4 linked regions of the Arabidopsis thaliana genome follow. The protein of the gene in region 2 interacts with the protein of the main gene of each other region in a pairwise test. Each region holds a gene or a part of one and is shown on either strand. Other genes may lie near its edges. The genes, in order: ARD4, SERK5, AT3G13410 and ABCG13.

The links.
Region 1: the proteins of SERK5 (region 2) and ARD4 interact in a two-hybrid assay, tested with the Arabidopsis thaliana proteins (one large-scale study listed by BioGRID).
Region 3: the proteins of SERK5 (region 2) and AT3G13410 interact in a protein complementation assay, tested with the Arabidopsis thaliana proteins (one large-scale study listed by BioGRID).
Region 4: the proteins of SERK5 (region 2) and ABCG13 interact in a protein complementation assay, tested with the Arabidopsis thaliana proteins (one large-scale study listed by BioGRID).

Annotation. Positions count from the first base shown.
Region 1 is NC_003076.8:17,626,608-17,631,202, forward strand, and holds ARD4 (RmlC-like cupins superfamily protein), read right to left. Parts: upstream 2,757-4,595; 5' UTR 2,516-2,756; coding exon 2,504-2,515; intron 2,279-2,503; coding exon 2,191-2,278; intron 1,975-2,190; coding exon 1,880-1,974; intron 1,261-1,879; coding exon 1,021-1,260; intron 886-1,020; coding exon 757-885; 3' UTR 525-756; downstream 1-524. Other genes in the region: CLH2 (chlorophyllase 2), read left to right, coding at 3,885-4,154. UniProt on the Arabidopsis thaliana protein: Catalyzes 2 different reactions between oxygen and the acireductone 1,2-dihydroxy-3-keto-5-methylthiopentene (DHK-MTPene) depending upon the metal bound in the active site.
Region 2 is NC_003071.7:5,751,117-5,757,885, forward strand, and holds SERK5 (somatic embryogenesis receptor-like kinase 5), read left to right. Parts: upstream 1-1,986; 5' UTR 1,987-2,159; coding exon 2,160-2,241; intron 2,242-2,381; coding exon 2,382-2,523; exon of another isoform or gene 2,524-2,589; coding exon 2,590-2,661; intron 2,662-2,817; coding exon 2,818-2,961; intron 2,962-3,636; coding exon 3,637-3,705; intron 3,706-3,786; coding exon 3,787-3,858; intron 3,859-3,936; coding exon 3,937-3,992; intron 3,993-4,498; coding exon 4,499-4,606; intron 4,607-4,689; coding exon 4,690-5,031; intron 5,032-5,140; coding exon 5,141-5,535; intron 5,536-5,625; coding exon 5,626-5,949; 3' UTR 5,950-6,237; downstream 6,238-6,769. UniProt on the Arabidopsis thaliana protein: Serine/threonine-kinase of unknown function.
Region 3 is NC_003074.8:4,361,100-4,365,885, forward strand, and holds AT3G13410 (2-C-methyl-D-erythritol 4-phosphate cytidylyltransferase), read right to left. Parts: upstream 3,218-4,786; 5' UTR 3,039-3,217; intron 2,953-3,038; 5' UTR 2,934-2,952; coding exon 2,812-2,933; intron 2,679-2,811; coding exon 2,576-2,678; intron 2,480-2,575; coding exon 2,420-2,479; intron 2,236-2,419; coding exon 2,173-2,235; intron 2,049-2,172; coding exon 1,848-2,048; intron 1,745-1,847; coding exon 1,633-1,744; intron 1,543-1,632; coding exon 1,331-1,542; intron 1,143-1,330; coding exon 1,050-1,142; 3' UTR 536-1,049; downstream 1-535. Other genes in the region: AT3G13420 (uncharacterized protein), read left to right, coding at 3,624-3,716, 3,896-4,089, 4,352-4,736.
Region 4 is NC_003070.9:19,076,294-19,083,206, forward strand, and holds ABCG13 (ABC-2 type transporter family protein), read right to left. Parts: upstream 5,159-6,913; 5' UTR 5,043-5,158; coding exon 4,856-5,042; intron 3,274-4,855; coding exon 3,194-3,273; intron 3,110-3,193; coding exon 2,648-3,109; intron 2,574-2,647; coding exon 2,451-2,573; intron 2,369-2,450; coding exon 2,207-2,368; intron 2,120-2,206; coding exon 1,835-2,119; intron 1,753-1,834; coding exon 1,480-1,752; intron 1,385-1,479; coding exon 1,277-1,384; intron 1,196-1,276; coding exon 839-1,195; 3' UTR 545-838; downstream 1-544.

The sequences.
Region 1 (4,595 bases), on a different chromosome or scaffold from region 2:
CATTCATTGGAAGATGCTACTTTTGTGTTCTTTTGTCTTCTATGAATATCAGAAAATCTAAAATTTAATTAATCATTATAAATTTAGTGACTATGCTCCAACATTTATAAGCTTCGTTTTCGCCCATGACACGTTGTAGTGAATGCATAGAGATACGTTTCGTGGTTTGTTTGTTTATTCTGAAGTCAGAATGATGGGATTTTTGGTGGAACCCTTTGAAAGATTTGTGTAGAGAACAAGAGTATCCTTTGAAAATTTGATTGATCCTTGATTCAATTGAATTGGGTTGGGGGAAAACCAGATCTAACCACACCAAATCAAACGGTTAAGCACGACACAAGCAGAATTATACATTATATATATATATACAATTAATATATTGATAATGCATAATTTTAAGAAGATTTTGTAAAGAAGAGGTCATTTCAAATATAAGAAAATTTATGCTTTAACTTTTGAAGTACACTAACACTATATAAGTAATAATACTTGAATTACAGTTTGGAAAGCTCAAATAATTTATTCGAAAATCGTAGGGTTTTTTTAGTTATAAATTTCACGTTCGCAGCTGACATTTGTTTTTTAATGATACTTATTAGATAAATACACACTATTTTTTTTATGTATAAAAGCATACATCGCAAAAGTATGTTACAAGAACAACTATCCAGAAGGAGCCGCTGTTTTTATTTTACTGCTTAAGACTAAAGAGTAAACAATACATACAAATTACACAACAAGCATATATTAATATTGTTAATGTGCTTTAACGGTTTCTCCAAACTTGTAGGTTAAGCCGTGGATATACTTTTTCCTAACAGGATGTTCTTCCTGTGGCCGGTTATATGGTGTCCAAACCGGTTCCCCCACGAACAGCCTCATTAGCTGCAAAACCAAACCACCATACATCACAAACCAACAATCAAATCTTTTAACATAAGATATTAAGATGTAATATTTCATTTGCGTATTCATATAAATTAGTAAATTAGTATAGAGACTGAGTTTGGCTTTTTGTACCTTGATGTAGTTGCTGGCGTCGAGTGTGAACCGGTGGTAGATTCCGGCAGGAAGGACAATGAGATCGCCAGGTTGCATCCAGATACGGATCCAACGATCATCCTTGTCCCTAACATCAAAGTAGCCACTTCCTGCTAGGCAGTACCGAATCTCTTCGTCCTTGTGAATGTGTTCTGTGAAAAAGTTCTTCAGCTTTTCTTCGTAGTTGCTGACTTTCTCGGGACACAGATCCAGCAAATCCTAAAATGAAGATTAACCAAAGTAATCATTCTGCTTGAGAAAATTAGTTTATAGCTCATAAGTTACAATGCTACACACCACACAAATAGCTTAATTATTTTTAACGTAAACCAAACGTTTTAATGTTCCCTTAATACTCAATTACAGAGAAGCCTTCTTCCTTAATAAGCTGGTTTCTAAAATGTTTGTAGTCATACTACCCCTTAATGGTTATGCAAGATTATAGTCCTACTGTCCTATGATACATGTTTTTTTTTTTCATGAGATTAGCGTGCAGAGATAACAAGTAAAGGAACTGAAACATCAATAGCCGCTTATGGTGAGCATGAGTTAAAAAAGGGTGATCAGAAAGACATAAGCCGTAGCAAATCCTGTACTCTAATACTCATAAGGCTTCTTTCTTCATAGGCTGGTTTTGTAAGGTTTGAGTACTACCTTCATTATGTAGTCCTACACTCCTACTGTGTCTAGTATATGTCACAATCGTTAATCTCATGAGATCAACATGCAACGATATGCAACAAGTTAAAAAACAGAGACATTCAATTGGCATTTATGATGAGCATGAGTGTTCCTAAGTTAAGAAAAAACAGTGATCAGGAAGAGATAATATGCGTACCATGTAATCGTAACCCCTGTCTTCTCTAATCTTGCTAAGTTCAGAATCATTCTCGTAGTTCTCAGGGTTCAACTTCCAGTACAACACTCCCAACTCTACAAAACACAACAACTATATTTGTGATATTTGCATAATTTATGATTCTGTTAAATCTCATCTTGGGTAAATTTGACCATTTCCTTAGTTTTAAGACGGTTTACGTTTAGTTTCCTCATGTAGAATCACTACTCAATACAATAAAGCATGAAAGATTGATGTTTTTCAAAAGTTGCAAAGTAAGAGTAATTTTTAAGGTAGAGAATTGAAAAGACCTGCCAAGTAATCCAACGAGACGAGTTCTTTCGGGTTACGATGATGAGGAAGTCTCTGGTCCTCATTGCTATCATCCATAAACCATGCCTGCATCAATCAACACTTAAGCCTCAGGGAAAGAAAAAAATCTCAAGAAAAAACTTTTGATTCAATTTTCAATTTCAGCTGCAAAACGGTAAAATCAAATCCCAATTCTCAGTTCTGCCAAAATCAAATCAAATCCCCAAAATAATTCCGAAAGAGCAACGATAATCACTATTGAACGAATCGAGATTCGAAATCAGAATCTAGAACCTATGAATCAGAACTCACCTCGAGAGCCATTAATGATCTTCGTTGTGTAAATGCTTTTTTGATTTCAGACTCATCAGAGTGATGAAGATCAGATAAATAAATGGCTATTTCCTCCGTCGATGATAGCCACGTGTACGATCACTTTAATTCGTATTATTTTCCTTTCTCCTAATTTTTATTAATTCTGGTTTCGAAATTCTAATAATAAAAAATCGTTATTTTTTCTTTTGCACGAAAAAAACAACCGTTTTCGAGCCACAATGATCATGAATGAATAAGACCAAAACATTGGCTCATTTGTATGATATTGTATTTTCTGAGGTTCATATATTTCCATCTGATTTGAACTAGAATGATCTATATTCAGATATATAATTTATATTTCAAACTTGAAATTAGTTTTAACTAGAAAAAAAAAATGTAATCCAAAATCGTACATAGGTATATATATTTTTTTTCCACAAATCGTACATAGGTAATGAGGTAATGTTTAACACTTTAACTTGGGCCGTGTAATACAAATTGGGCCGTTTAACACTTTAAATTAGTCTCGAATGTTATATAATGTTTTTTTTTTTTTTAAATTGGACTAGAGAAAAAGTAGTCTAGTATGAAGTACAAAGCCCATTCCTTGTACCCAGCAACAGCATATCAATTTATTTTTTTGCTAAGAGCATATCATATCATATCAATTTTTTTCTCTTCTATATTTTAATTTTTAATACTTCTTAGTCATAAATCTTTTGACCATTTATTATTAAATTTAATCTGAAACACAAAGTAACTTTCTTACAAAAATTCAAATCTCCAATTATTTTGTTTGAATTTAAATATTTTTTAAAATTCCAAAAAATCTCATATATATAGGATCTGACTTTGTTTAAATATAGAGAAATTTAACTAGACTATAATAAAAAGACTTCATAAAATTTATTACCCAAAATTAGAAAAAATCAGGTTTCAATACTGAAAATAGACTATGAATATATGGCCTTATGATTGTAGTTGTTATATTCCATGCACACATAAGTAATTTCTTTCTATTTGATTTGTTTTTTAAAAAAAAATATTTAGAAGTTTAAATTTAAAGGTCTTATATTTTTTAGAGATGGGACACAAGTTAAATTTATATTCTTTAGAAAATAGATTCTTTTCAACAGACGTTTAATCCAATATCTACATCTGGAAGATTTATCATTACACCAACCCCAATAATATAAGTAATTTAACATAAGTAATTTTTTTCTATTTGATTTTGTTTATGTGCTCTTTAAAATTAACCAAGATTTCAACGGCCATACTTCTTATAACTTTTAATAATATCTCTACTCACCTCATTCTCATGAACCCACCAAACAAAAAAAGTAAAGAAAAGAAAAACTAATAAAGAACAAAAAAAATGTCCTCTTCTTCATCAAGAAACGCCTTTGAAGATGGCAAATACAAATCAAATCTCTTAACCTTGGACTCATCATCTCGTTGCTGCAAAATAACACCGTCTTCTAGAGCTTCACCGTCTCCGCCAAAGCAGCTGTTGGTGGCTACGCCGGTGGAGGAAGGAGATTATCCGGTGGTGATGCTCCTCCATGGTTACCTTCTCTACAACTCCTTCTATTCTCAGCTTATGTTGCATGTCTCTTCTCATGGCTTCATCCTCATCGCTCCTCAGGTTCAATTTCAATTTCCAATCATTACATTAGTTCAGGAACTAATTAGCCACTGAAATTCTTGTTTAGTTTTAGATTCCTATGTGTATTAGTAATTTAGTATAGAAATTATTTTTTGGGGGGTCAAACTAGTGTATAGTTTTTGTTTAATTAGTAAAATGTTATGAGTTATTTTTATGGAAATGGTACTATCGGAATTGTTAAATCCAGTGTATAGTTTTTGTTTAGGGATTTAGTATTAGTGTAGAGTTTAGAAAAATGTAAATTCGCTACAATCTCGTTCCATTCCATTTTGTGCAAATATTGCATGTGACTGACTACTTGGTCCTTTGAGGTTTAGTGTGAATGTTCATGAATATGTAGGTCCATGTATTAAGATATTCTAGTTGAATCCAAAAAAATCATAATAAATACATATACATTGATTTGTTAGGACTTATAGG
Region 2 (6,769 bases):
GATCAAATAGTGATTTGATACCTTTTTAATTTTCTGAATTTTTGATAAATATAGATTTGTTAGTTTTAGGCAATATTTAATAAAACGGTTTGATTACGTTTTTTGATAAATATATCTTTATTGTTTTTTATTACGTTGAATCAGATTTTTATTTTTGTTGTAAGATATCGTCAATGATTTTATCAGAAAAGGTAGTTTTAAGATTGATTTAATGGTCTTGCTCTATTTGTTATATTTTATAATTCGGTTAGAGATAAAATAATGATTTGATTTGTCCTCTTTATAATTGTCCATGATGACTTATTTCAGATTCATAGTTAGCACAAAACTTTGAACTTTTTTGCCTATATAAGAACAAATCAAACAAGAACACCATCTATATTTGCTAGATAAAAATAAAAAACCAACAGTGGCGACTTGAACATCAGAGACAAAAGAACGACCTCGATTTAATCAAATTGTGGGTAAAATAACTTTCAAAATTGACCCATTTAAAACAGATGGTCATGATATAAAAACGGGAAAAATGTCGTTTAATCCCCCAACTTTCCAAAAATGGCCAATCAATACGTCAATTTTGTAGGAGGCCATTTAAAACATCAACTTACAATTGACTAACATTTAAAACACGAACTTTGCGTTGACTAGGCCTAATAAGACCGACGTTAAATCGATTAACAGATCCATTAGACGACGTTAAGAACTGTTATCATCTCTCTGTTAGTGAAGAAACGACGACGTTTTAAAGCTTAATAGATAACCCGATTGTTTGTCGAAAATCCCCAAATCAAATACTTCAAATCCCTAATTCCCTAATTCTCTTCTTCTTCTCTAAATTCTCCATCAAAAGCTGAAGAAATGAGTTGCAAATCTGGGAATTCTAACTAATGGCATCCACGAACACACTTTCAAGATCGTTGGAGATAAATTAGGGTTTGTTTTTGATTTGGGGATGAATTCGATTTGAGGATTTCTTCTCGACAAATCCCTAATTGGGTTATCAATTACGCCTAAAACGTCGTCGTTTCTTCACAAACAGAGAGATGATAACGGTTCTTAACCTCGTCTAATGGATCTGTTAATTGATTTAACGTCGTGTTTTATTAGGCCTAGTCAACGCAAAGTTCATGTTTTAAATGTTAGTCAACTGTAAGTTGATGTTTTAAATGGCCTCCTACGAAGTTGACGTATTGATTGGCCATTTTTTGAAAGTTGGGGGATTAAACAACATTTTTCCCATTTAAAAACTGGCCAAAAACCAATGACTAAGATTTTATTTGATCATCGGGTCAAAACTCACAAGTATCGGGTTAGGCAACCCCCTCGTTCTTCAAATAAAATTATTTAAATGAGGTTTGATATCCTAAAACGTTTATAAATTTGATTATAAAACTTTAGCATTTGCCCATATGTTTGCAAATTCATTAAGACATTAAATTCAATTGTAACAATTATTTGCAAATGAATAATCAACGTAATCCACATATTTATAATTTTATATGCAAAATAATCAAATACAAAATATTTTAACAACTTACATTATTATTAGTATATTAAAAATATAATAATATTGTCTACCACATAACTATAACTATTTTAAAAAAAAATCTTAAACAAACTTAAAAACAGATTTTTTTTTATCCAACACTGTATTATGAAAGATTAAATAAAATTGTGTACTACACAACAACACCAACAATTATCTAACTAAAATAAATATTTAACAAGAATAAAATAAAAATGTATTTTTTCTACTACAATAACATCTAGTAAAATATAAATTCACAATTTCGAATCTGAAAAAAACATTAATTATTATCTAGTAAAATAAATTAGTCTTACAGTCACAATAAATCACTTACCTCACTTTTAGAAAAATAGAACTTTAAAAGTTGAGATAAGTATCTAATGGCCCAGCCTCGGCCCATTTACCCAATTCTGGATCCGGATATTATCAGCATCACTTTCGTTTTTTTGCAAGTAGCAGAGCATTCTCCATGTTTGAGAAACCCAAAGTTCCAAATTCCAAAATTGGTCAAAGCTCGATAACGTGTGTATTGCTTCTCTTAGTCAATGGTGATTTCGATTCATTGACTGGGTTTAAAAACCTTGCTAGTTCTCAATTCTCATGACTTTGCTTTTAGTCTTAGAAGTGGAAAATGGAACATGGATCATCCCGTGGCTTTATTTGGCTGATTCTATTTCTCGATTTTGTTTCCAGAGTCACCGGAAAAACACAAGGTTTCTTTCTTCTTCATTTGAATTTTCTCATTCGGGTTTCAAAAGAGAGACTTTTTTTTGTTTGCAATTTTGTAAAGGCAACAACTTTATTCCCTTGATCCCTTGTTGATGTAAAGGCAACAACTTTGTTTTTTTTACAGTTGATGCTCTCATTGCTCTAAGAAGCAGTTTATCATCAGGTGACCATACAAACAATATACTCCAAAGCTGGAATGCCACTCACGTTACTCCATGTTCATGGTTTCATGTTACTTGCAATACTGAAAACAGTGTTACTCGTCTGTAAGTTTCTTTCACTCTCTCTCTGCTGGTTTTATAACTGAATGATTCAAGCCTTTTACTGCTCAGTGACCTGGGGAGTGCTAATCTATCTGGAGAACTGGTGCCACAGCTTGCTCAGCTTCCAAATTTGCAGTACTTGTATGCTTCATCTTATTTTCTGATTGCTAATTATGTATCTTGTTTGTTACATATTGCATAATGTTTTCTGTAACATGGATTTTTGCTAGTTTAAGATATTTCCTATTGACGAATTCTCTCTAATCAGAAATATAATTAAGCAAATCTTAATGACAGGGAACTTTTTAACAATAATATTACTGGGGAGATACCTGAGGAGCTTGGCGACTTGATGGAACTAGTAAGCTTGGACCTTTTTGCAAACAACATAAGCGGTCCCATCCCTTCCTCTCTTGGCAAACTAGGAAAACTCCGCTTCTTGTATGTACTCTCTCCTTCTTCTATTAACCCCTTCAATACGCAGCTTTATTGTTTACAGTTTCGAAGTTTGGTTGTATTTTTCTTTGCTATAAAACTATTGCGTCTAACATTCAAGACCGTGTCACAATCTAATGTACTTATTTCCGGGGAGAGGGTTGTTTAGGGTAGCAGTGTTTTCTGGTAAATTATTTCATCTAGTAAAAGAATTCTGAATTCTTTAGTAAAATATTACCCTTGGAATATATTACATCACCTATAAAGAATTCACACTCCTTGGCCTTGTGAGCACAGTCCTCTGTCAAATTGTGATCCTTAGGGGAAGGCTTGAAGCTATTGAGTTAATGAATTTAGTTGTATGTCATTAGTTCGTTTCTGTAAGGAGACATTTGATGATAACCTTCCTTAGGTTTCGATAGAATCCAAGACCGGGTCCTATCGAAAGAGAGACCGTCGAATCTTCTAACCAAAAACTTCAGTGTACATGTGTAGAGTGAATGTTTCAGAAGTAGTTAGAGGCTAAGTGTACAAATTCTTTAAACAAATTCAGTCATTGCCCTACAAGTTCTATGCAGTTGGATAACATTATTTTTATAGATCAAACGTGTTGTTTGTCATTTGAACTCTTTAGTGGTTAATGTTGTTGACATGGGATCCTGCTGTAATGTATTTGGTTAGGCGTCTTTATAACAACAGCTTATCTGGAGAAATTCCAAGGTCTTTGACTGCTCTGCCGCTGGATGTTCTGTGAGTATAACTTTTATTCTCCTGAATTATATATGGTGCAATCTTGAGTTATGACAAAAATGTTATCATCCTGAAATGCAGTGATATCTCAAACAATCGGCTCAGTGGAGATATTCCTGTTAATGGTTCCTTTTCGCAGTTCACTTCTATGAGGTTTTCCTTCTTATTCTTAGTTTCATTCGTGATGGAGTGGTCAGAATAAATTACTTATTGCCTGAAAGTTATCTGCAGTTTTGCCAATAATAAATTAAGGCCGCGACCTGCATCTCCTTCACCATCACCTTCAGGTTTTCATTTTATTTGATGTATATCTTGTCGAGTTTCGTTCCACATTTTTTTATTTAATGGTTGGGTGCTTGTAAAGTATGGCATTTTCACATTAAGGTTTGTCATGTCTCTGCTAAGATTGATAAACTGCTTATTAAAAAAAAAGGCAACATTTTGATATCATTTTCCATTGGTTGGTGTTGAATAAGACAAGTGAGACATTCAGTTGAACTCGCCAGTCTGCTGAAGCAGAACAATGATGAACTCTCTAGTTTGGTAAAGTAACAAGGGTTAATTGACACTGTAAGAAAAGAAAGTGTTTACGGAAATTATGTGGGTAGCATGGGACATGAAGATATATTTGACACTTTTGAAGGTCTTTGATCTGAAAAATGTATTAGCTCTTTCACTTTTGGTCAAACATTCCACTTGGTTGATGCATCAGTAATTTTTCCCTTGAAAACTTTTCAATATATCACACAAGTGTGAATAATTTCTGTGCTAAGAAGCTTTGTGTTTATCTCAGGAACGTCTGCAGCAATAGTAGTGGGAGTTGCTGCGGGTGCAGCACTTCTATTTGCGCTTGCTTGGTGGCTGAGAAGAAAACTGCAGGGTCACTTTCTTGATGTACCTGGTTAGTCAACTCTCTTCATTTATTTTCCCATTGAAGCTTCTTCGGCTGATTTTAATCTCGTTTTGGTGAACCAAATTTTGCAGCTGAAGAAGACCCAGAGGTTTATTTAGGACAATTTAAAAGGTTCTCCTTGCGTGAACTGCTAGTTGCTACAGAGAAATTTAGCAAAAGAAATGTATTGGGCAAAGGACGTTTTGGTATATTGTATAAAGGACGTTTAGCTGATGACACTCTAGTGGCTGTGAAACGGCTAAATGAAGAACGTACCAAGGGTGGGGAACTGCAGTTTCAAACCGAAGTTGAGATGATCAGTATGGCCGTTCATAGGAACTTGCTTCGGCTTCGTGGCTTTTGCATGACTCCAACTGAAAGATTACTTGTTTATCCCTACATGGCTAATGGAAGTGTTGCTTCTTGTTTAAGAGGTACCACATTCTTTGTCCTAAAGGTTATTTGTCATATATTTTTGTTTTGTTTTGACTGGTTTGTGATTGGTCAGTTGGTAAGTATCTTATCTTTGATTTTCTATTATAGAGCGTCCTGAAGGCAATCCAGCCCTTGACTGGCCAAAAAGAAAGCATATTGCTCTGGGATCAGCAAGGGGGCTCGCATATTTACACGATCATTGCGACCAAAAGATCATTCACCTGGATGTGAAAGCTGCAAATATACTGTTAGATGAAGAGTTTGAAGCTGTTGTTGGAGATTTTGGGCTAGCAAAATTAATGAATTATAACGACTCCCATGTGACAACTGCTGTACGGGGTACGATTGGCCATATAGCGCCCGAGTACCTCTCGACAGGAAAATCTTCTGAGAAGACTGATGTTTTTGGGTACGGGGTCATGCTTCTCGAGCTCATCACTGGACAAAAGGCTTTCGATCTTGCTCGGCTTGCAAATGATGATGATATCATGTTACTCGACTGGGTATGTTTTTAATAGTTCCCGATCATATTTTTGAGTTCAAAACTGTTATTTTGCAATAAAGAGGAGTGTTTCTTTTCTGGGTGTGATTAGGTGAAAGAGGTTTTGAAAGAGAAGAAGTTGGAAAGCCTTGTGGATGCAGAACTCGAAGGAAAGTACGTGGAAACAGAAGTGGAGCAGCTGATACAAATGGCTCTGCTCTGCACTCAAAGTTCTGCAATGGAACGTCCAAAGATGTCAGAAGTAGTGAGAATGCTGGAAGGAGATGGTTTAGCTGAGAGATGGGAAGAATGGCAAAAGGAGGAGATGCCAATACATGATTTTAACTATCAAGCCTATCCTCATGCTGGCACTGACTGGCTCATCCCCTATTCCAATTCCCTTATCGAAAACGATTACCCCTCGGGGCCAAGATAACCTTTTAGAAAGGGTCATTTCTTGTGGGTTCTTCAACAAGTATATATATAGGTAGTGAAGTTGTAAGAAGCAAAACCCCACATTCACCTTTGAATATCACTACTCTATAATACTAATCATATCTACTATACTTTCTCTCCACTTCCATTAAGCAATAAAAACTATTCTTAAATCTTTGTATGCATCTTTGTAGAATATAGAAATTCATATAAACATAAATAGTAATGTTGCTTTATAACCCCTAATTTAAAAATGATGATCTTGACTACCCACACCACCAATACATTGTAGGAATCATCATGATAGGAGCTTTTGCTTATGGAAGAGAATGAGGATAAAATGTAATGGCAAGTATGTTATACCATAAAGAATCTATCATATCCATTTAAAGTTAGGCGGCTTTTTGTAGAATTCTATAATTTATGTTCATAATGGCGTCATGCTTGCTTTTGGTACTCCCAAAAATAAATCTTGATCGAACCCATATTTGCCTAAGAAATACAATGTGCTCACATACAAACTTCATATAGATTTGATGTATTTTTATCTTGAACAAACTACAAAGCATATAGTTGTCTGGCTAGTTAAAAGCTAGTAATGAGAATAATAATTTAGTTATGTATTTGGAGTTTTGTTTGGTTATAGCTGTTTAAACCATTGATTGTATTAATATTTTCGCATAAATTAATTTCTGTTATTTTACTTAAAATTATCTTGAAATTTAAAGATTACTCAAACATGATAATTTATAAAACGTAGACATATAACAAATTATCAACAATTATTTAGTTCTTATTTTTGTATTTAATTTATAACACAT
Region 3 (4,786 bases), on a different chromosome or scaffold from region 2:
GCTAGTATAAAACTAAGCTACATGTCATGGTGACATGATTTTTTATAAATGTTTGTGTAAGAAAAAAAAAGATAAACATTGTTCATAAATGATGCTTTTGAAACTTCTTCGTAATTAGACAAATACAGTCATGTATTTGTTATAGTATAAACTTTGAAAAAAACAGGGATACGAATAGTGTTATGTTAGAATAAATGTAGGAGTATGTATAGTGGGGAAAAGATGAATAGAACCATCGTTTTCGGTCATTTTGATTCTTTATACGCTTCTTTATGGAGAGAGAGAGGTCAATCAAAGAATCTGAAAGATTGATCTTATGACTTTGTCAATAGGTCCATGCAGGGACCATAAGGACCCCAACATATGAAGATGTTTTGCTAAGTATTGAATCATGGAACAAATCAACGAAATAGTCAAAACAAAAGGTCTATCTAGATAAATTATAAACTGCTAATTGCTCAATCGATATTACTTAATAATGACTAAACATGCCGAGGCAAACATTAAATTTGGATTAGAATTGCATGTTGCATGACAAAACTTATATATGTATTCTTACTATTTTCTTAATTGTTCACAAAACTATCATCTATATCTATCTTTCTATCTATCTATACAAGTGATGGTACACACACATGTCCTACCACTCTGACTCTACCGACATTATTGTCCTGAGTTTTTTTCTTCCAGAAAATCTATGTCCGAATCCCCAAATTGATATGAATACGATACTATGAGCACGATAACTCCGGAATATAATCTAAGAAAAAGAAACAAAAAAAATTCTGAAAAAGAATGTAATCCGTTCTCCAGTGTATGTATCTCTGGTTTTTTACTCGTTCTCCATTATTAATTTATGACGTTTAAGAAAGACTCACAAACAAGATGAATAAATGATACAAGGGGATTTTATGGCATATGCAGATTTTGTTTTGAAGTAATAATGTAACAAATCGACATTGAAGTACCTTCCACAATGCGCACTATGCACAAGAAAAGACTCGTCAAAAGCAAAGCAAAAGGTGGGGATGGCTCTTAAGGTCAACAGCTTAAGAATCTTGAGGAGTCTCGAATCTAGTCGGTGTATCGATACCCGCCATACAGCAAAGTCCACTGATCAAGATGAGAAGAAAAACGATTCCCTGCAAAAAGAAAAAGAAAAGGACGAGACATAATCAAAGGCTTTTACGAAATTTTAACACATTGAATTAAATTATCTTCCAGCTAGATATGACCAAGATGCTCATTAAACTTGTCCATTCTATGATGTTTATGAATCTTTCTTGAGAACGATGAATACCAAAAAAACACGAGTAAAAAGAGTAATTACCACTAGTATGCCCTCCAAAAGTGATGACTTAAATTTGCAGAGTTCATCACAGCCAGTAGCAATTTCAGGAGTACTGTTTCCTTTAGCAGTTTCAGCTAGAAACCTTTGGAGAGTTTTGTAAGATGTGTACCAATAAGGATCAGAAACATAAAGAGCTGTATATTTACTGCCGGATTGTTCTACAGAACTAACAAGTTCCAAGAAGCTTTCACCTGCAGAATAGGTCAAAGAATTGCTTAATTTCCTAGTTCTCAAATGATATCTAATTGTTAGTATTATTTTGTAATGATCTTTCCACTTACGCTCTGAATGTGACTGTCCAGCTTGACTATTCGATTCAGAACCCTCGGAACAGAGCACAACCAAGTCAGTTTCTCCTTCTTTCCTTGTTTCTCTTCTAGCAAGCAAATGATCCTGTCAATTATTAATGAGTATTAGAAAGTGAAGTTAAGGGGGTGATAACACTGGGAAGGCATGGGATTAGGGAAAATAAAAACTTAAGAGCAATGAGTATTACTTTGAAAGACTGCAAGTCTGAAAGTTTCTGAATTGTTCCATCCTCAACAAAGCACGAATCTGAGAACACGATATTGCTGACTCCTACATTGTTGGGACAAGCTTCTTTAAGCCCTGAAAGTAACAAATTCTCCATCCTTTCTTCCTCTGGAGCAGCAATATATGGGAATGCCAATGAGAAGTTGGAAGCTGTAAATAGATTCTGTTGAAACAAAGACTTGGATGTTAGAGTATTGTAAACTTTATATCAAACAACTATGTCAGAGATCTGTGTTACGGATGCAATTTCGAAATTTCTTGTTGAAGAAAAGAAAATTTGCACTTACATTCAATGTGTTAACAAGGGCAGGATCTGAGTTCCTTTTTGAAGAAACATCAGAAGACAGTAACTGCAGGCGGAAGAGAACGTGAATATTAGAATTCTCAGCATAACACAGAAGATACAGAGCAAAGACGATTAATTTCCCGCAATATTAAAACATCAGTTTCTTTACAATATCACAACAAGAAACCAAAGATCCACAAGGTCATTTATGCTAATGTTAAAACAACAATACTACATCATTCAATTACCTCTCTGCCTATGAACACAAGTGCAACATCAACAGGTTGCTCAAGCTTCTTCTCTGAGCACTAAACAAAGGAGACAGTAATGACAATAAGAAAAATCATTTGACATCCAGTGAGTTGTAGAATTGAAATCATAAGATCATGAAGAAGAAACCATACCAGAAAGTTTGACCAACCTCCTTGAGTGAAAACAGAACCAACTAGATCCTTTGCAGACATGACCTGATAATTTACAGCCTCATCCAATTCACCATTAGCAGACCTGATTTTCAGAATCACATAAACCAATCAACCCAGTAATCTAAGCTAACTCACATCAGATATCACAAGTCCCAGGCTTTTTACACATTTCCATCAATCAAATTGAGAATTATAGAGAAAACAAGATGCATAACTGGAGATGCGGAGACCAGAGGAAAGCAGGAACTGTGTTCGGAGAAGCCAATCCGATTTCAAAGAGAGAGGCCACAGATAGAAACACCAATAGCGCCACCGCACCAATTTGAATCTTCTTCATCTTCGTCGTCGAAACAATTCTACCGGAGACAAAAGGAAAAAAAATCAATCGAACAATTCCTCACGCCTAACGAAACAATCAGCAAATTCAAAGATAATCACAAACCTAGAGAGATCGAGATCGCTTCCAGAAGTCGATGTATCAGTAGATTTTTATCGAACTTTCAAATCCAGAGAAAGAAGAGATTCATATCTCCGATCTTCAAATCTGGGCGACACATATGAGTAGTCGACATGTAAGGAATTAACGGCGTCGTTTTTGAAACGAAAATCGCTAACCGAGATAACCGGTTTCGGTTATGTTCAGATATTAACCGGTCTGAAGTTTTGGGCTTGATTAGGCTTTTAAAGATTTTCCAATACGGCCCAAAATTTCGTGACTCCGTTAAGCGTCCGTCACTCTGGACAAGAAACGGAAACCTCCTTAAATCTTATAATAACTTCGTCACGATTGAACGGAATATTTCGTTTCCTCATTTTTTTATTTTGTTGCCTCTTCTGCAACGCGATCCCGCCAAAGACACTCTTTACTTTCTCCCTCACGAAAATTCTCAAATCGTCGTTCTCTCTTGATTCACCGATTTCGTTCGCCGGAAAATTGCAATTTAGCATCAGAATCGTCGAGCCATTTTGTATTATGAAAGTCCATTGAAGTAACAAGTAACGAGAGCTGCGAGGTTGAGATTTTACGATGCTTTGTGTTTCGTTACGAAATCGAATACATAATTGGCTTCGCGACTACGTTAGGCTCCAATCTGTCGTTTTGATTCTTATCTATGCTCAGGTAAATCCGTAATCGCTTTGTAGTTGTTTCATTTCCTCCGATTTCACGTTTTTTCTCGTGAATTGTTCGTATCTGTTTGGGATTAGGGTTCTACGATTTCTCTGTCGATATTTGTTTGTTATTCTTTTAATTGTGGTTAGAAGTGCAAGAAACTCATATTGATGAATCATTTGTTTCAGATAGGGTGCGCGTTGATCGGTTCACTAGGGGCATTGTACAATGGAGTCGTGCTGATAAATTTGGCGATTGCGTTATTTGGGTTAGTAGCAATCGAGAGTAATAGCCAAAGTCTTGGCAGAACCTATGCGGTTCTTCTTTTCTGCGCCATTCTTCTTGATGTCTCATGGTTCATTCTCTTCTCCAAAGAGATTTGGTATGTCACTATCCTTGGAACAGCCGTGCTTGTGATCATGATCAAATATTTGGTTTAAGAGTTTGCTCTGTCTTGTTTAATTTTCATTGCATCACATATTGTAAACTGTCCTGAATTTCTCTTGATTGGCTCATCATCTTTTTGAACTGATTGATCTTTAAACCTTTTTTTTTGCAAATCTTTGCTATGTCGTGTTTAGATTCTGTTGAGCCAGTATTCATCTGCTGCCTATAACTGACAAAAGATTTAATTGTTAATGCAGGAACATTTCATCTGATATGTATCAAGTCTTTTACATCTTCTCTGTGAAACTCACCCTGGCTATGGAAATTGCTGGGTTCGTTGTGAGGCTATCGTCCTCTCTGTTATGGTTTCAGATCTATAGGCTGGGAGCTTCTATTATAGACTCTCCATTTCCCCGTCAATCAGATTCAGATTTACGGAATAGCTTCTTAGAACCTCCTCTTTTAGCTAGGCAACGTTCACGTGATCCAGAATTACGAAATAGCTTCTTACAGGCTCCTGCTATAGCTAAGCAACGTTCACGTTCTGACGAAATCTTGGAAGATTCTATTGACGAACCTGCCTCCTACACTCCTCTGTTAGATGGCGGCCTAAGCAATATCACTTTGCCCAATGCAACACAGGTCTTTTTATTTCTACCTATTCTTCTCTTAAGTTGTTTGTGTACTCATTG
Region 4 (6,913 bases), on a different chromosome or scaffold from region 2:
AGTTTAGTTGTAACAGTCATAGGGTAGCAAATGAACAACAAATGAGTTCTGTACATGTCTACTCTAAAATAATCAGACTGGTTTTTTCTGATTTTACAACTGGATTAGCCATATTTGTTTAAAGTTATTGATTGTTTGTGTATTTTTTTTCCTTACTATGTAATATTTCTGGGAGCTTATATTTGGGTTCCCAAAGTTGAAAATTTACCATTTTTGCTTGGTTTTACACTTTTAAGGTTTTAAGTATCTCGTTGTTTGTTCTCTATCTGTTCAACAAACGCCTTTGGGAGGTTACTTTTGTTAGTTTTGATTCTATTCCCTATCAACTATATGCTAAAAGAGGAGATTTCATGGCACTTAGTGATAAAAGTCAAATATGCCTGGTCTGTTCTGTTCTTGTGCTGCACAGATTATAGATTTGCGTCACTGGTGCTATCAAGCAAGGACCAGTGTTCTACTGCCAGCCAGGTAACAAATCTCCATACCATCTTCTGTTTATTTGATTTCCATAACACAGTTTCTTCTGAAGCTATGTTAGCAAACGAAGTGCCTTATTTGATATATTTACGGTGGTTCGTTGGTAGACTCTCTCTTAGGGGTTCATGCATGCATCACTTGTAATCTGATAATGTAGCCATGCTTATCTTTTTTCTCCAATATATGTATCTCTGATAGATACCATCCTCATGCTAAACAAATCTCATTAGTCAGAATGATAGTATCTCTCTTTTCTTTTTTTTTTCCTTACACAACGGGCTACAAACAGTTTATCAAGTTTGAAGAGAGTGACATCTGACATATTGAAATATATGGAAATTGCATCCTGCTGTATATGCTTCTAATGCAGTGGAGAGTTAAGTCCTTCCTGAGAAGAGAGAGCATGGTGAACAGGGTATCGCCTGGAAGGGAAAGGTGTCATTCTTCTGAAAGAAGGCCTTTTCTGGATATGGCTCAGAGTTCTCTTTGTGTATAACATGTGAATAACTGGGAAAACCTTTTCCCGGAACTTGAGGATGGCGAAGAAGGCAATCCTATACCCAATGAGAATCATCATCACAACTGCTAGATCCAACCACTTTGAACTTTCTGGATTTATGCCTAGAACAGTTTGAAGAATGAGTTCTCCTTTCATTTTTGGTACCAAGGGTAACGGAGAATCATACTCCACCCCAATCATCTCATTCTTGTATGCTCCCTGCAATTTATCAGGTATGCTCATTTAAGATAGCTACTTGACGATATAGTCTGCATCTTAAAGTTGAGAAAACCTGGTTACCTGTAGTGCCCATGCACCATAGTTTATGTAGGACACCGGGTATCGCCAGAACACCATTGGTAAGTCGGGGAAGAATCGGAAAAACCCCGCACTTAACACCATAATTCCCTATGAGATGAAGGATAAAGCGGTTTTCAATTTAGAATAGTTTTTGGAGATATAAGAAAGCTTGTAGGTGAAAGAGCGACAGAGGCCACTCTTACAATGTAACCAGCTCCCAACATGACTCCCATCAAGAAGTTAGGGACTACTGAAGCTATCATCATCATGCAACTCTCCACAGTTGTAATCGCGCAGATAAGGTCGAGACAGTTGTAGAAGAAATGAGAACCTCCGGATTGGAACCTCACCATGTAGATAGTGATTGAGCTGGTGGAGAGGCACATAAGGATTATGAAAGGTAATGAGGAGAGTAAATTAGACACAGTGTATACTGCAACCCCATAGTGTCCATTGAGCCTTTCGCGAGAAAACACCTGTTTTCAGGAATAAAGATGCTAAAACATAAGATAAGTTTTTAGGTGAAGAAAGAGAATTTTTCTCTGTTTAGCTCTTTACCTTCATTTCTTCAATGAAGGATTGGAATCCTCCTATTGACATGAATGTCATAAAGCCTGCCATAAATCCGCCACAAGCTGCAGTACTCATAACATTTGTGTGGTTTCTCCCGACGTTGAAGAAGATTGACCCGACACAAATGGATAACACTATGTAGACTGCAATCCGCATCCAGTAGTACCCCAAGTCTCTACTCATGTTGATGAAAGATCGCTGAGTAAGTATTCTGAGTTGTTTCCACCAATTAGTTTGGCTCCCCTTTTTCCTTTCTGTGACAATCCCCACCTGTTGCACAAGGTTTATAACTGTGCTTATGAGACTCTCATTATGTGATACATTGTAGTTTTAAGGGAAGTAGTAACCGTAACTTACTATCGATGCTATTTCTTGAATTCTTGCTCTTGAAGCTGCTGCATAAAGTGAACACTTAAATTTTCTGACAAGTGTTGTTCTAATTTCTGCAGTTGGTATATCATCCAGAGGATCTAATGTGTTTGTAGTTTCATGTAGTTGGTGAAGAGAGAAAGATGAATCCTGCAGATGTAAAAGGTCGAGGTCAAAAGCTTGAGAGTATTGTAAGTTCATGAAAAAACAAGAAGGGCAGAGGAAAACAAACGTTGATTCTCCGAGATTCAACCAAAGCCGCTGTGACATTATCGAAATCGGAATTGACACAGCGAAGGAAGTGGTCTGATGGATTCCGTCTACTTGGACAAGGAAAACCTGCTTCACCAAAGAACTGCAATGTCGAAGCAACAACAACACAAATGAGCATAATGGTTATATACTCTTGCCAATGCTCTATCTTATTACCTTTGTTGCAGATTCTGCTTCGCCAAAGTAAACAGTTTCTCCTCCAGACAGAAGTAGCAGGTCATCAAAGAGGGCGAAAACCTCACCACTCGGCTGATGGATCGAAGAAACCACAGTTTTGCCACTGCTTGCTATGTTTCTAAGAATCTGAACCACGAAGAAAGCTGAAGCACTGTCCAGTCCACTAGTTGGTTCGTCTAGAAAGAGGAGACTTGGTTTTGTTAAGACCTCGAGGGCAATACTAAGCCGTTTCTTCTCTCCTCCGCTTATTCCACGCAAATGCCAGTTTCCAATGGTCCTGTCTGAACATTCTTCAAGACCCATGTCAGTGATTGTAGCTTCCACAATGTCACTGATCTCTTCTCTGGTAAGCTTTGAAGGGAGCCTGAGATGAGCCGAGTAAGATATGGATTCTCTCACTGTCAAAGTTCCTAGCAACACATCTTCTTGCGTCACATAAGCCTGAGAGTTTAGGACATTCATGAATAATAATAGTTTGATTGTGTAAAAGGGTAAAAACTAAAGAGAAAAGATAAATTTTCTTACGGCAGCACCAAAGTCAAGTCTTCTCTTCTTGCCATTGACAAGTACTTTGCCACTCATTACAACATTCCCTGCTAATCTTCCTGTACCATCACCAAATTTACCTTTTAATGTTAGATGTTAAATCTTTCATGTTTTTGAACAATCTTATAGCATTGATAGAACAATCTTATAACCCGGTTTTGGGTTTTTCGCTTTTACAAGAATATTAGCCACAGTAAAATTAAATTGGTTTCGATTAGTCATAAGCATAAAATAAAGATCTTCTTAATCCAATCAAATTTAGGTTTGGTCAAGAAAATAATAATCGATTTGGATTGTTTTTGGATTGAACGTAACATCCCTCAAAGAGTCCGACCAGTCACCAAACCGGGTTCAACTTGTGAAGAGATCGCAAGTCGGTATGAAGATACGATCGTGCAATCCTAAATATTTGTGTCAGAATATTGGTGATTGGTAGTTGGTTAACATTTAAAATATGATTTAATAAGAAATGTTACTGCAAAATTTCTGTACATAGTCTACGTTAGAGAAACGTAACTATCAATTTATTCAATACTAAATGTACGACGATGTAAATTTATTAATTAAGAACATGAAAATTGCAACTATTTTTTTTTTAATATTTATTTAGTACTCCGATAGTATATAGCTATACTTAAAAAATAAAATTGGTAGCTAGAATCCATAAATATAAAGTTAGAAATATCTATATATGTCTCATCGTGTACATGAAACTTAGATATAAATATAGCACTGTTTTTCAATAGTTATAAATATCTTGATACATAAATATGTTATATCATGCTCTCAAATTTCTTTTACATATATATATGTTACGTTTGGTCAAAGTTACAGAAGAAAAAAAAAAAAAATTACAGAAGAGTACAAAAACTTCAGTTAATATTTTCATTTCACCAAATTGTGATACTGATACAGTATGTACATAGTTTGTTGCTTTCAAATAGGAAAGTTATCAATTTTATTGTAGTAATGTATTTTTCCAATATACAAAAAACTAATCAAGTATCATATTAGTTAATTTTGATTACATACGAATTTACAGGTTAATAATAATTAAATATTTTATGTTGAATAGGACACACACCCACCCACGCACAGACATACACCTATATATATATATATATATATATATCTAACAAATAAATTCTAACTTATATTCTCAAATTTAACTACGAATGGCAGAAATCCTTATCAATTCCAAATAAAAATTACTAAAAGATTTGTGAATATTTTTTAATGTAAGAAAACAGAAATTTCTTATTTTCCAAAAGTGAAACACTTTTTACATAGTATATTGAGAAAGTTTCCTTGGACAATTTTTTAAAAGAAAGACATAACGTCATGTATATTGTTAATTATAGTTATATATATATATATATAGAGTACATAGAACGATTCACTAAATACTAGGTTCAAAGTGGGTAAGTCTCATCCTTTAATGTTGGTTTCAAAGCTAAATGTGGTTGGTTGTTAAATTCCTCTAAAAACTATATCTTTTAATTGTTGGTCGATGTTGCTTCAGCTTATTTGAGATTTATATAATAGAGGAAAACCATTTAACAATAAAAGAAATACATAATAAAAACGACGAGCTAATCTTGACATGTATGGGTGTGTGTGTCTGAGAGAGAGAGAAGGGACCTGCTAAAGCATCAAGAAGCGTAGATTTGCCTGAACCTGAAGGACCCATAATAGCTAAGATCCTATTTGGCTCACCACAACCATTCACTCCATTCAGTAATCTCTTAGTTGCTCCTTCACCGAAGTTTGGTATCACCACCGTAAGATCCTCCCACGCCACATACATCGCCCCCTCCGGCGTAGTCATGTATGCTTTTGTTAGATAGATCGAAAACTGAGCGAAGAGTTTTAAACTTGTTCTAGCTTAAGAGTTTTTTTTTTTGTTTCTTTGGGAGAGAAAAGTGTAATGTGTGTGAATGCTTGTGGCCTTATTTATAGTTATAAAAAGTTGTGCGGTGAATGTATTAAGAGAACTAGGGTCTTTGAAAAAAAAAATGTATAAATTAGGGTGGTCCAAATTGGTTTAAACTAATTTGAGTCAAACCGAAACTGTACCAAAGAAAGTGATTGGAAAAAACTAGATGTAATAAATTCGGTTACATATTTTTGATATATAAAATAAATCATGACTAAAAATAAATAAAACATATAGTTTAGTTAAAATAAAATAAAAAAAATTTAGAATCCGAAGAAAAATCGAACCAAACTAAATGATATTGGTTTCTATTTATTTTATGAAACCAAAACAAAATATCTACCCATGCAAAACAGAAAAGTGGATTAAGAATAGTGTAAAAGACAGAAAGGAAACTATTATATATGTACACTATCATGCATGCATAGACGAGGCATGTGACAGAAAAATTGACGTTTGATGTTATATTCATTTACTCGTTGGACCCGTTCGGTACTATATATGTCGAGAGCTACAGACATCCGCATGATAAGAAACTTATGGTTTCGTTACACGATTTAAGGAAACATAACACTTTAGGGTATATATCACGTAAATTGCAATAATTTTATTTTCTGGTAATTTTGTCCAAATTTTTTATAAAATTCCGATTTGGTTGGGTGTATCAACTAGTATAGCACTCCAAAACATTGTTTTTTTTCAAACGAATCACAGAGGAAATTCAAATCCATGAGGAGAGTCTATACTATTCAACTCAACTATATTTAGACGCCATTACTTTTGGAAAATTATTTGAATTATTTATATACATTGTGAACGTGATATATATAACTTAACATCGACATAAGGCCGTATATCAGAACGTTTAGATTAAAGTAATCTAGTTGTTGCATATTGAGTTTATGTAACTGGTAAGAAAGTAATCAAGAGAGTATATAAGGAATTTTAAGTATGTTGTGTAAACATATGATTGGATCAATTATTTTATCATAATGGCCGAAAATTAACCACGGAAAAGGTTATCATTAATATTTTAATTATTTTTATAAAGCAATTAATTTTGGTCGTATGTTAAATTTCTTATTGAGATATACTATTTAGTTTCTGCCTCTGGAAAGAAACCGTCCAATGTTCCTTGCTGCTTCAATGTGGTTCGTGTTGGTAATTTTTGAGGCAAAAGACGGATTCTCAACGTCATAAGATTTTTTTTATAGTGACTATTTTTAATCTCCCCCAAATTGTTTGCAGAAGTGTATTCGACACATCATGAGCTTGCTTGTTGCATTTTGCTATTTAACTTTTGTTTTCGAGTTTTTATTTATGGCCCCCTATCATCTATTTTTATTGTTTATCAAACCTATCGTTCTATTTATATTGTAAGTTTATATATTTTTTTTAAGATTATAATACCGAACCATGAATTTGAAGAGCTTGCAAATTTATTCTCTTTCGGATATGACGAATGGAAAACAAGTATGTTGTAAAAAAAAAAAAAAAAACAGATGGTGACGGATTTGTTTTAACCATGTGATGTTTTTAACCATGTTTCGTGCTAATCAAACACATACACAGTACCAAATACACTGTTTCAACGTTTATGTCTTCTTGTCTTCAATTGTATCAACAGAAATTAAAGCTATGTAGTTAGTGTGACTAAATTATTCATTTCTGCTAAGAAAGAAAATTCATTACTGCGATAACCTAATCATAGATTGTTAGATAAACTTATTAAATGACTTCTTCCATCTTTTCCATATCATAAC